Macaca mulatta: one gene and its partners. The protein of the gene in region 3 purifies or fractionates together with the protein of the main gene of each other region. This does not show direct contact. Links are inferred from orthologs where the notes say so. Each region holds a gene or a part of one and is shown on either strand. Other genes may lie near its edges.

Evidence for each region. Proteins that work in one complex are often made in the same cells at the same time.
Region 1: the proteins of HNRNPH1 (region 3) and HNRNPUL1 fractionate together in Homo sapiens (co-fractionation; 3 studies listed by BioGRID and IntAct, with this or other methods). This does not show direct contact. The link is inferred for Macaca mulatta from reciprocal best matches to the Homo sapiens genes HNRNPH1 and HNRNPUL1.
Region 2: the proteins of HNRNPH1 (region 3) and HNRNPM purify together in Homo sapiens (affinity purification with mass spectrometry; 3 studies listed by BioGRID and IntAct, with this or other methods). This does not show direct contact. The link is inferred for Macaca mulatta from reciprocal best matches to the Homo sapiens genes HNRNPH1 and HNRNPM.

Annotation. Positions count from the first base shown.
Region 1 is NC_133424.1:52,414,172-52,417,671, reverse strand, and holds part of HNRNPUL1 (heterogeneous nuclear ribonucleoprotein U-like protein 1), read right to left. Parts: intron 1,391-3,500; coding exon 1,237-1,390; intron 1-1,236.
Region 2 is NC_133424.1:9,338,229-9,341,299, reverse strand, and holds the end of HNRNPM (heterogeneous nuclear ribonucleoprotein M), read right to left. Parts: intron 2,666-3,071; coding exon 2,614-2,665; intron 925-2,613; coding exon 761-924; 3' UTR 501-760; downstream 1-500. UniProt on the Homo sapiens protein: Pre-mRNA binding protein in vivo, binds avidly to poly(G) and poly(U) RNA homopolymers in vitro. Involved in splicing.
Region 3 is NC_133411.1:188,582,353-188,586,493, forward strand, and holds the start of HNRNPH1 (heterogeneous nuclear ribonucleoprotein H), read right to left. Parts: upstream 2,801-4,141; 5' UTR 2,399-2,800; intron 1,755-2,398; exon of another isoform or gene 1,359-1,754; intron 1,242-1,358; 5' UTR 1,211-1,241; coding exon 1,114-1,210; intron 1-1,113. UniProt on the Homo sapiens protein: This protein is a component of the heterogeneous nuclear ribonucleoprotein (hnRNP) complexes which provide the substrate for the processing events that pre-mRNAs undergo before becoming functional, translatable mRNAs in the cytoplasm.

The DNA.
Region 1 (3,500 bases), on a different chromosome or scaffold from region 3:
CAGTGCACTGCATGCACAGATGGGGAGCCCATGCCCATTTGGCTGCTGACTCTCCCAGCAGCAGCCTTCCCTCTGGTGGAGGGCCCCTCTGGCCTCGCCAGGCCAGGGCTAACACAGATGAGTCTCTTTCCTGAAGAGCAGCTCAGAGAAGCAGAATGACTTGCCCAGTGTCCCACTCATGAAGGAGACTCATGAGACTCATCTTATGAGTCTGTGCTCATCATATGTTAAGTCCATTCTACGAAACTTTCCCTGCCAGCCCAGGATCAGAGCGAGTGTTCTTCCTCTGCTCTCCATCAGCAAGTAGCTTCTAGGCCTCTGCTCTGTAGCAAGCAGTGGAAGAACACCATATGAGGTGGGCTCCATGTCCTAACTTAAGTCATAGCCTGGGACATCCAGGCCCTGTCTCAGAGAGTAACAAGCTAGTAAGAAGGTGGACTCTGCCAGATAGGAAACAGAATGTGTCAGATGACTAATCCAGGTGAGTACAGTGGCCATTGCTAGTTTTCATAATTGCAAAAGGCTTCAGATAGGAGCTGAAGGAAGGAAGGAAGGAAGGAAGGAAGGAAGGAAGGAAGGAAGGAAGGAAGGAGGGAAGGAAAGGACTTGGTCTGGAGGGAAAGGAAGGAAGGGCTTGTTAGGGAAGAGAAATGACCAAAGCAGAGGCTGCTGCCTCTTCTGAGCTCCTGAAACTTACCTGCATCCTGACTACTCACCTCAGAGGTTGTGGCTTACTTATGTATGTGTCTGAGTCCCCATACTGGAACAACAGAAGGCAAAACTCACTGCCCATCTTTATGTTGCTAGTGTCCAGCCCAAGAGTGGGCACTTCGTGACAGCACTATGAGAGCTGACTGAACGAGCGGATGAATGGGAAGAGGATGTGTGTTTGGGAGTAGTGTTACGAAACAGATCTTTCTTTCATTACAGATATCAAGCAGCTGACTGCAGGGGCAGTAAGGCAAAGGACAGAAAAGGCAGGCTGGCATCTCACACATGAAAAGTCTAAGATATTTACAAGTTACCCTGCAGGTAAGAAGGGAGGAACTGGGGGAAGGACCAAAAGTTTAGGAAAGTTGAATCTGGTAGTAAGCACAGGAAGGAACAGAAAGAGTGTGAAAGCAGAGGGAATCTCTACTCAGCCCCTCTAGATTAGTGCAAATGTCCCCAGCAAGCACGAGGCTATGGATATAGAGACCTACCAGAGCAAGGGTGACTGCTGCCTCATACACCCACCTCCTATCCTCTCGGTGCTCAAAGTACCCCCGTCCCCGGTTTTCTTCATAAGGCCTCTTTCGACTCTGGAATTGCTGCCTGTCTGGCTTGAGTTGAGAAGCTTCAGGCGGGAGGAAGCTGGTGGGTGCTCCTTGCTTCATCTCTGTCTTCATTTCTATTGTCAGGACAAATTCAGACGGTCAAGACACTTGCAAGCTCCCCAGCTATCACTTTTCTGGTCCCTTTTCCCTTGGGAGATGTGAGCAGGATCCTCACTACAGTGATGAAGGGCTGGGCACAGGCAGCTTGCTGAGTTCAATAGAAGCCTGTTGAGCCAACCAAGGAGGCCGTACTGGAGAACAGGGCTAGGATCTGAGATGCCATGACCCTACATTCTCCAATTTCTCCTCCCGAAGAACCTCAGTTCTTACAAAGCTTCTTCAGTGTAGCAAGGGAGGGGGAGAGGATGAATTCAACAGGGTATTGTGGTCCTGCAGCTAACTCTACGGGCTTTAGTTGCCCTACCCACAGAGGCCAGAATCACTCCGGTTAAGCCATCCTATAGGTGCAATAACCTCTTTAAGTCATACCACTAACAGAAAGTCAGGATGGGATACCGTGCTGTGGACCATGGGTAAGTCCTAGTCTCAGGCAGACTCCAGGAATCAGTGCCGAACCAAGAGCAAACTATAGATGTAGGCTAGCTTAATTTCTCCCACAGCGTTAATCCCTGATGCCGAGGCTCATTCACATCTACTCATTTCTGCATTCAACCCCAGACCATTTTGGATCATTCCCCAGCTTTGGCATGTGGATCACATCACTCGGAAAAGGCTCCTGGTTCTCTAGGGCAGGGATGGTGCTCAGCCATCCTGAAGAGAGCCTCCCTGGTTCCCAGCAATAGGTTGGGCTCACACAGGGCTCCTGATGAATGTCTGTGGATAACGGCACAGAAAATATTCTCCTGGGGCTGAATGATCCTACAAGTCTCACAGAGCCTGACACAAATCTGCAGTTTAACCTACATTCATTAAAGTTCTGAGCCACCCACAAGAAATGTCTGGGGATTTAACTTTGTGGATGAACCAGAATGGCATTAGACAAAATCAACCAGATACACTAAGAAAAGGCACTGGGGGGCCACAACACAGTAAGAGCAGCACAAAACTGGGGGTCAGTCCGGGCTCCATCAGTTCTCAATAGTGGGACCCTGCTTTCCAAATAGTAAGGCACAAATGATAAGGAATGCTGCTTATTTACCAAAAGGACTAGCCTGGGAGCAAGTTTCCTAGGTTCTAGCCCCAGCTCTGCCATCGGACAAGCCAACTCCTCAATCTATAAAATGGGGAGGAGAGGCCAGGCGTGGTGGCTCACACCTGTAATCCCAGCACTCTGGAAGGCCGAGGTGGGCGGATCACGAGGTCAGGAGATCGAGACCATCCTGGCCAACATGGTGAAACCCTATGTCTACTAAAAACACAAAAAAAATTAGCTGGGCGTGGTGGCATGCCTGTAGTCCCAACTACTCGGGAAGCTGAGGCAGGAGAATCACTTGAACTTGGGAGGCGGAGCTTGCAGTGAGCCAAGATCGTGCCACTGCACTCTAGCCTGGGCAACAGAGCAAGACTCTGTCTCAACAAAAAAAAAAAAAAAAAAAAAAAGGAAGGAGAGAGTTGGCAACACGGGGAACTTTGTTCTATAAAAATATATACTTAACATGCTTGGGAAATCCTAAGTTTAAACAATACAACACAAGGTTTTTTGTCTATTTTTCATTAAAAAAAATATTTTCGGCCGGGCGCGGTGGCTCAAGCCTGTAATCCCAGCACTTTGGGAGGCCGAGACGGGCGGATCACGAGGTCAGGAGATCGAGACCATCCTGGCTAACACGGTGAAACCCCGTCTCTACTAAACATACAAAAAACTAGCCGGGCGAGGTGGCGAGCGCCTGTAGTCCCAGCTACTCGGGAGGCTGAGGCAGGAGAATGGCGTAAACCCGGGAGGCGGAGCTTGCAGTGAGCAGAGATCCGGCCACCGCACTCCAGCCTGGGTGACAGAGCGAGACTCCGTCTCAAAAAAAAAAAAAAAAAAAAAAAAAATATTTTCAGCAACACCAGCCCACGACGACACAAGGTTTTTAAATTTAATTAAAAAAAATTTTTTTTTGGAGACAGAGGCTTACTGTTGCCCAGGCTGGAATGCAGTGGTGCCATCACGGCTCATTGGAGCCTCAACTTCCTAGCTCAAGCCATCCTCCCACCTCAGCGTCAAGAGTAGCTGGGACT
Region 2 (3,071 bases), on a different chromosome or scaffold from region 3:
AAAATGCCAGAGAACAAGCCCGACTGAGGCAGGGTCTGTGCCCCAGGGTGTTAACCTCATAACAGGGAGACAGGATGGCTTTCGGGAGGCTTTTCTTCATTTTTGAGACAGAGTCTCACTCTTGCCCAGGCTGGAGTGCAGTGGCGACATCTCGCTCACTGCAACCTCCGCCTCCTGGGTTCAAGCAATTCTCCTGCCTCAGCCTCCTGAGTAGCTGGGACTACAGGTGCCCTCCTCCCAGATTACAGGCACGAACCACTGCGCCTGGCCTCGGGGCGCTCTAAACAGCCAAATGCTCCATTATCAGCCCAGGGATTACAGCCCACAGGAAGGCAGTTTCCAGGGAAGAGTCTCCCCCAGTCTGTGGGCAGGCACTCACCCCTGGGGCCTCAGACAAGCAGGAGAGGGGATGAGATCCCTGTTCCTTGGACTGGAACCTCGAGTGACCCCAGCTCCCCACACCTCGGGTGGTTGCCCACACAGCACACACAAGCAGGCTGTTTTCAGGAACCGGTATTTATTATCAAAGTCATATTCGATGTCAACAAGATGCCACAACTACAAAAAAAATTGCGCACATTGCAATCTCAATGCAAACAGTCAAATGGAACCCCAGTCATTAAAAAAGTAATTCAAATTACCCCAAAAAGCAACTGAATTTTTTAAACATCTTTATACATCCAGCCAACAAATTAAAATGGTTAACAAGAAAAAATACAAATTCAGAGGTCTCGTATCGATGTTTAAAAAAGGCAACTGCTTAAGCGTTTCTATCAATTCGAACGTCAATCTCTCGGCCACTCAGCTTCATGCCGTTCATCATCCGGCAGGCTCTCTCGGCCACCTCTGGCGACTCGAACTTAACCACACCACACCCCTTGGACTTCCCATTCTCCATCTTGATGTCGGCGTACAGCACGTGGCCTGGGACAGGGAGGGAACAGACCACACTTGTCAGGCAAACCCAGAGCTCAGCCTGTCTGGGCTCCATTCAGTCCCGATTGTTAGATTTTGGTGGACAGAGTAAAAAATCCGCCTCAACGGCTTGCCCCCAAGAACCAGAGACAACCTGATATCTGGAGCACAAAGGCTCAGAATACAATGGTGGGAACCAGTGACTAGGCCCTTGGCCACACTGCCATTCTTCTGCTAACAGAGCCTGCCCCTGCCCCATGAAAAGCCTTCCTAGAGGATTCAATGCACGCCTTGACGCTTCACAAAGTTCAAAGAAGAGGGCGCCGAGTAAAGCCAGCTTTCTAGGCAGAAAGTTGGCTATATATTTTACAAAGTGTTCATTTCTGATACGCCACTGCCCCTGGTTACAAAGCCATCCGCAATCCAATGGACACGTCTGTACTGTCCAAATGAAAGCCAGCCGGTTTCACTTATTCATCTGAGCACCTGTTAAGCATCCAGATATGTGTCAACTCTGCGGAAACAGGTCAGAGCCCTAGAGGACAAAGGCTCTACTCCAGGAGTGCCAAAGGTGCTAGGGCCACAATGCCAGAGGCAGGAACTCTGCCTGAGAGGGCCCAGGGCAGGTAGGGTGGAGGGGTCCTCAGGGGAAAGTTCTTACACAGAAATTCACCAGAAAGACTTGCCAGTAATGCCTCACACAAGAGCACTGTGGGACACGTGCAGCACTTGCCGCTCAGGTTCTGGGACAGGAGGGAGATGGAGGAGGATGGGACCAAATCTTCAAGAGGCTTGTGAGTCTGGACTTCCTCTTGAAGGTACAGGGCCCCTCCAGGCATTGCAAAAGTGGGGGTTGGGGATGCTGTGATCCCACTGGCCTTTTCAGAATATCTAGCTACAACGTGGAAACTCAGGAGTGGGGAAAGAGGTAAAGAACGGGGGAAAGAGGTAAAGAACGGGGCAAAGAGGCACGTCATGACTCAACGGCTTGCCCCAAGAACCATGGAGAAGCAGCAATGGTGGTGAAATCAGAGCCACTGCTGAAACAGGAAGCGGGAGGGCAGTGCGGAAGCAGCCGCCCTGTCCTCTAGCTCAGGCCCCTCTAGCTAAAAAGAACAGAGGTGGTGCATGAGGGGTGGAGGCTCACCCTGGAGGGCAGGGAAGGAAGACAACTTGCTTTCAGCCACAGAGGGAGCCCTCCAGAAGAGTAGCAGGATGTGCCAGGAAACCAGGAGACCTTAGCCTCATCCTCACAGGAGCTGCTGTGTGCCCAGAGCCTGCAGCGCCTCCCCATGGCACCTGCTGGGCTAGGTGTTCTCTCCGAGGCCCTGAACCAGCTGTGCTAAGGGGAAAGCTACCTCCCTCGTCTGGGATGTTTTTATTTAGCGTTGCCACCTAGAAGCCAGGTGACCTGAGAAGACTGACTCATCTGTGAAATGGGGACACTACTACCTTGTTTCAAAAGCCTCAAAAAGGAAGAAAAAAGGAAATTAGGATGAAATGAGAACACAGGTGAAAAACGTGCGACACATCACAGGACACTCAACAACCTGCCTGAGCACTGGCGTGGGCAGAACAATGGCAAGGCCATGGGTCCTGAGCTGATGGAGGGGGCTGGGAGGGAGGCTTTGCTGCTGACTTGGCTGCATCACCAGTAAGCATGAGGGAGGCACCTAGAAAGCCGTTCCCAACACTTACCACACTCGTTGAATTTGTCCTTCAGCATCTTCCATGTGAAATCGAATGGGAGCTAAGGAGGAAGGAAAAAAGGGAGACTGATGTGTGATTAAACCAAATCCTAAGGCACGCCTTGCAGCTGACTCTGAGGGCTACACTAGATTTCTTACTATACCAAGAAGCTGGCTGCTCTTCAGACTGAGGCGATCAGCAGGGAACTAATAGGTCCACGTGGGACAAGACTGTGAAGTGGCACAGCCAGCTCCCTCCCTGGGGCTCAGACTGTGGGAGCACTGTGCAGGATGGGACGCTTGGGCCTGTGGTGCGCAGCCCACAGTCACTAAATAGTGGCTAAGAGTGGCTGAGCTGGGGAAAATAATTCCGTTACAGCCACTTCTTTCCCTGGATCATTGTGCAAGACACAGTGCCTCTTCAAGCCAAGCAATCAGAAACTGCAGTCTGAGCTCAGAGTCTGCTCC
Region 3 (4,141 bases):
GCCAAACCCAGCGTTGCCCCCTGCAAGGTGGCTTCCAGTGTACTTGGTTCTTGTTTTACAGGTCGTTTTCCGTTACCAATGCTAAATTCAGATAGTAAGTCAACACTACAAACGTCTTGCCAAAAGCTGTCAATTTCATACAAGTAGAATTTTATCAGTCTAATTTTTCCCAGTCTAATAATGGGAACAAGGACATTCTGATAGAAAATATTCAGGAAACCTAGGGACTGCAAAAACACTTCCCTGGGTTTCAGTGTTTTCAATTGTATAGTCAGCCAAATTAAGAACTAGATGAGCACACACTCTTCAATTACCAAATCTTGATTAGGAAAACTGAAATTAAGACGTGACATTTTAACTTTCCGAAGAATGCTCCTTTTCAAGGAAACACCAGAACTGGAAACAAGAGATTACACTTCAAGATACTGAAAAACATTACTATTATTGGTCTAATTACTCGGCAATTTTCTCGAGATTGAGGAGGAAACCCACCTATGCCAATTCATCTTTTCGCAAAAAGACACCGGAGCCAGGCGCGGTGGCTCACGCCTGTAATCCCAGCATTTTGGGAAACCGAGATGGGCTGATCACTTGAGGTCCAGAGGTTCGAGACCAGCCTGGCCAAAATGGTGAAACCCCGTCTCTACTAAAAAAACAAAAATTAGCCGGGCGTGGTGGTGCGCGCCTCTAGTCCCAGCTCCTCGGGAGACTGAGGCAGGAGACTCGCTTGAACCCAGGAGGCGGGGGCTGCAGTGAGCCGAGATCGCGCCACTGCACTCCAGCCTGGGTGACAGAGACTCCCAACACAAAGGAAAAAGAAAAACGACATCCATAAAAGAAAAGTTGGTGTTCAAAGGTAGTAAAGAAATCAAAGGGTCTGCCAGATCTGCCGCACTCCCCCCGCAGGGCCAGGAGGACGGGCGGGGCTTTCGAAAATTCCATTGCGTAACCGCGGCCGGCCGGGCGCGAGCCACACGGCGGTGAGTGCAGTCGCCCGCGCCTCGCCAGGGGGCGCCCCGGGTCCCGCCGCCCCGCCCCGCCCCAGCCCGGCTGCCCGCCAGCCCGCCCGCCCCGGCCTCGAACTCGAACTCCCGCGTCCTAGTTCTAACTCACCAGAAAAAAACCTCTGCACTTCATCGGCCGAGCAAGACCACGGCAAGCCCCGGACCTTCACCACGAATCCCTCTCCGCCTTCGGTGCCCAACATCATCGTCTCTTACGCGGTCCGGCGTCGAAACAAACTGCAAGGCGGGGAGGACCAGACCTGAGAGCGCCAATTAAGCTGTCCTCCGCCTCCGAGGCGCCCCCGGGCCCGCACCGGCCCCCCCACCAAGCAAAAACCGGGGGGATGCACCCACCCCGGCGGCTCCAATACCCAACACCTCCTCGTCCGGCGGCCGGACCCCCAAAAGCTGTTCTGAGCAGCAACCGTCGGCGCCCCGAACCGTGGGGGCCCGGGCCGAGCCAGCGTGGAGGAAAGGAAATGGCGGCGGCCGCTTCCGCTCCGCCTCCTCCGACTTCTCACACAATAGAGTCGGCGCGGCCTGCAGGCCTCAGCTGCGGTGCCGACATTCAGCGAACCACTCGCGGCTCTCGATGGCAGCCCGCAGCTCGCCAAGGTCCCCGTGGCCCTCCCAGAGGTATGAGGACAACCAATCCTCGCAAAAACGGCGCCCACGGTGGTCGGTGAACTGCAAGCGAGGACCCACCGAGACTCACCCAGAAACCCGACTTCTGCGTGGCTAAGACGAAATGGCCAGCGGGCGCCTGCGCAACCTAAATAAGGCCCTTTGTGCGAGTTCTGCGCACGCGCAGCCAGCTGCCCGCACCGCCCCGTTGCGTCACAAAGAGCTCTGGCGCATGCGTAGTTTCAAGAGCCAGCCCACCGTCCGCCGGCGGATTATTACACGCTTGGGATTTGGGCGCAGCACCCCCACCCATAAACCCGCCGGGCTTTTTATTGCGCATGCGCCTTCCCGCGAATATTGAACTTGGGAGTCTTAGCGGTTTATAATTGTTTCATGCGCATGCGTCTTCCTTGAAACCGTTCTCTAGCCTTACCCGCCAGCGTGGGGGAGGGGAATGGCGGCCGCCTGTTCCCTATGGGACTGTATAGGAGTCCCGAGCTCTGGGTTGAAGAGGTGGGCGTCTTTCTACCCCTTACCCCCTGGCTCTTACCGGTGCGCTCCTGGCCGACCTGAAAGGAGAGGCGCGGCCTTCAGGCGTTCCCACTCCCCGCGCCGCCTGTCTCCCCTTTATCCCCAAACCGGCCGAAGCTGATCAGCCGCAGATGGTCGAGCGTCCTGGGAGCTGCGGGGCTGCGGACGTCCCGCGCCCGAAGCCACCCGGATGGTGCCTGGGGCACGTCCCAGCCATGTGTGCCTCCACTTCCCCTTACCTGCGGTCGTCGGGCCTAGGGCCCCGGTCGGCGCGAGGTTCCCGTGCCTGTGGCTCGCGCCTGTACCCAGCTTTTGCCTAACGAACTCGCACCCTGTGTACCCCTTGACCCGCCTCACGGTCGGTGGGCCTTCCGTGCCCTGGGGCCCTGGCACGAGGAGGAATCGCGAGCGCGGGCTTCTCCACGGGTGCGTGCCGGCCTCTGCCCGGTAGGTTACCGCTGAATCTCCCAGGACAGAATCGGTAACAGTGCGTCCAATCCCCGGGCGTAGACGCCGCATTCGAGGAGACCCCCGGCTCACCCCATGTGCACACATGCTGCCAGATGAGTAATGTTCGTGGTTTCTAACAGCACTGCCCAACACCGAAGATGCCGTAGCCTCCCAGGCCTCCCCAGGTCTGAGCTGGCTGCCCTCCTCACCCCAGCTCTAGTGGACACAGACAATAAACAAATTAACAATAAGGCAGGGTTGGACCTTGCCGCAGGGCTACCTTAGCTAGTGCAGGCCTAAGTGCCACCCTGGGAAGATGCAGACGAAGCATGTTTCCAACCCCAGGGCCACAGAGTCCGAATCCAGTTTTGACAGGTTTGAGAAAAGTAGAGAGGACATCAAAAGAAAGACGGGAGCCCAGAGCTAAGCAGGGCCTGATCTTCAAAAGCCACTTAGGCCTTGGCAAGGATGTTAACTCCGAGAGAAGGCTTTGGCAGGTGATCAGCAGGGGAGCAATAAGCCCTATGCAAAGGAAAACTTGCTGGATGTGAGGGGGATGCAGATGGAGCAGGCAGGGTGAATGACGGTACATGCCATGCCCTCTACTACAAACGGAACTGGAAGCACATATCTGTGGTACCATTTCAGAAAACACTTTGGCTGAGGTAATCAAGAAGAGAGACTCTGGCCAGGTGCGGTGGTTCACGCCTCTAATACCAGCACTTTGGGAGGCCGAGGCAGGCAGGTCACTTGAGGTCAGGAGTTTGAGACCAACTTGGCCAACATGGTGAAACACCATCTCTACTAAAGATACAAAAATTAGCTGGGCATGGTGGCGCACGCCTGTAATCCCAGCTACTCTGGAGGCTGAAGCAGGAGAATCACCTGAACCCAGGAGGCAGAGGAAGCAGTGAGCTGAGATCACACCACTGTCCTCCAGCCTGGGCAACAGAGAAAGACTCCCTCTCAAAAAAAAAAAAAATATTAGCCAGACATGGTGGCATATACATGTAATCCCAACCACTTGGAGAGACTGAGGCAGGAGAATTGCTTAAACCCAGTAGGCAGCGGTTGCAGTCAGCTGAGATCATGCCATTGCACTCCAGCCTGGGCAACAAGAGCGAAACTCCATCTCAAAAAAAAAAAGAATAATAGTGAGGTAGAATAAATTTCATACATTTATAGCCAATGCTCTTATATATAAATTGTCCAACTTATATTAAAACAAGGTTTTTAAATATTTATTTTTTATTTATTATTTATTTATTTTTGAGAAACGGCCTCACTGTCACCCAGGCTGGAGTGCAGTGGTGCAAACATGGCTCACTACAGCCTCTACCTCCTGGGCTCAAACAATCCTCCTGCCTCAACCTCCTGAGTAGGTAGGACCACAGGCATGTGCCACCTTGCTCAGATAACTTTTTTATTTTTCTTTTTGTAGCAATGGGGTCTCATTTTGTTGCCCAAGCTGGTCTTGAATTCCTGGACTCAAGGAGTCATCCCACCTCAGCTGCCCAGAGAAAGTGCTGGGA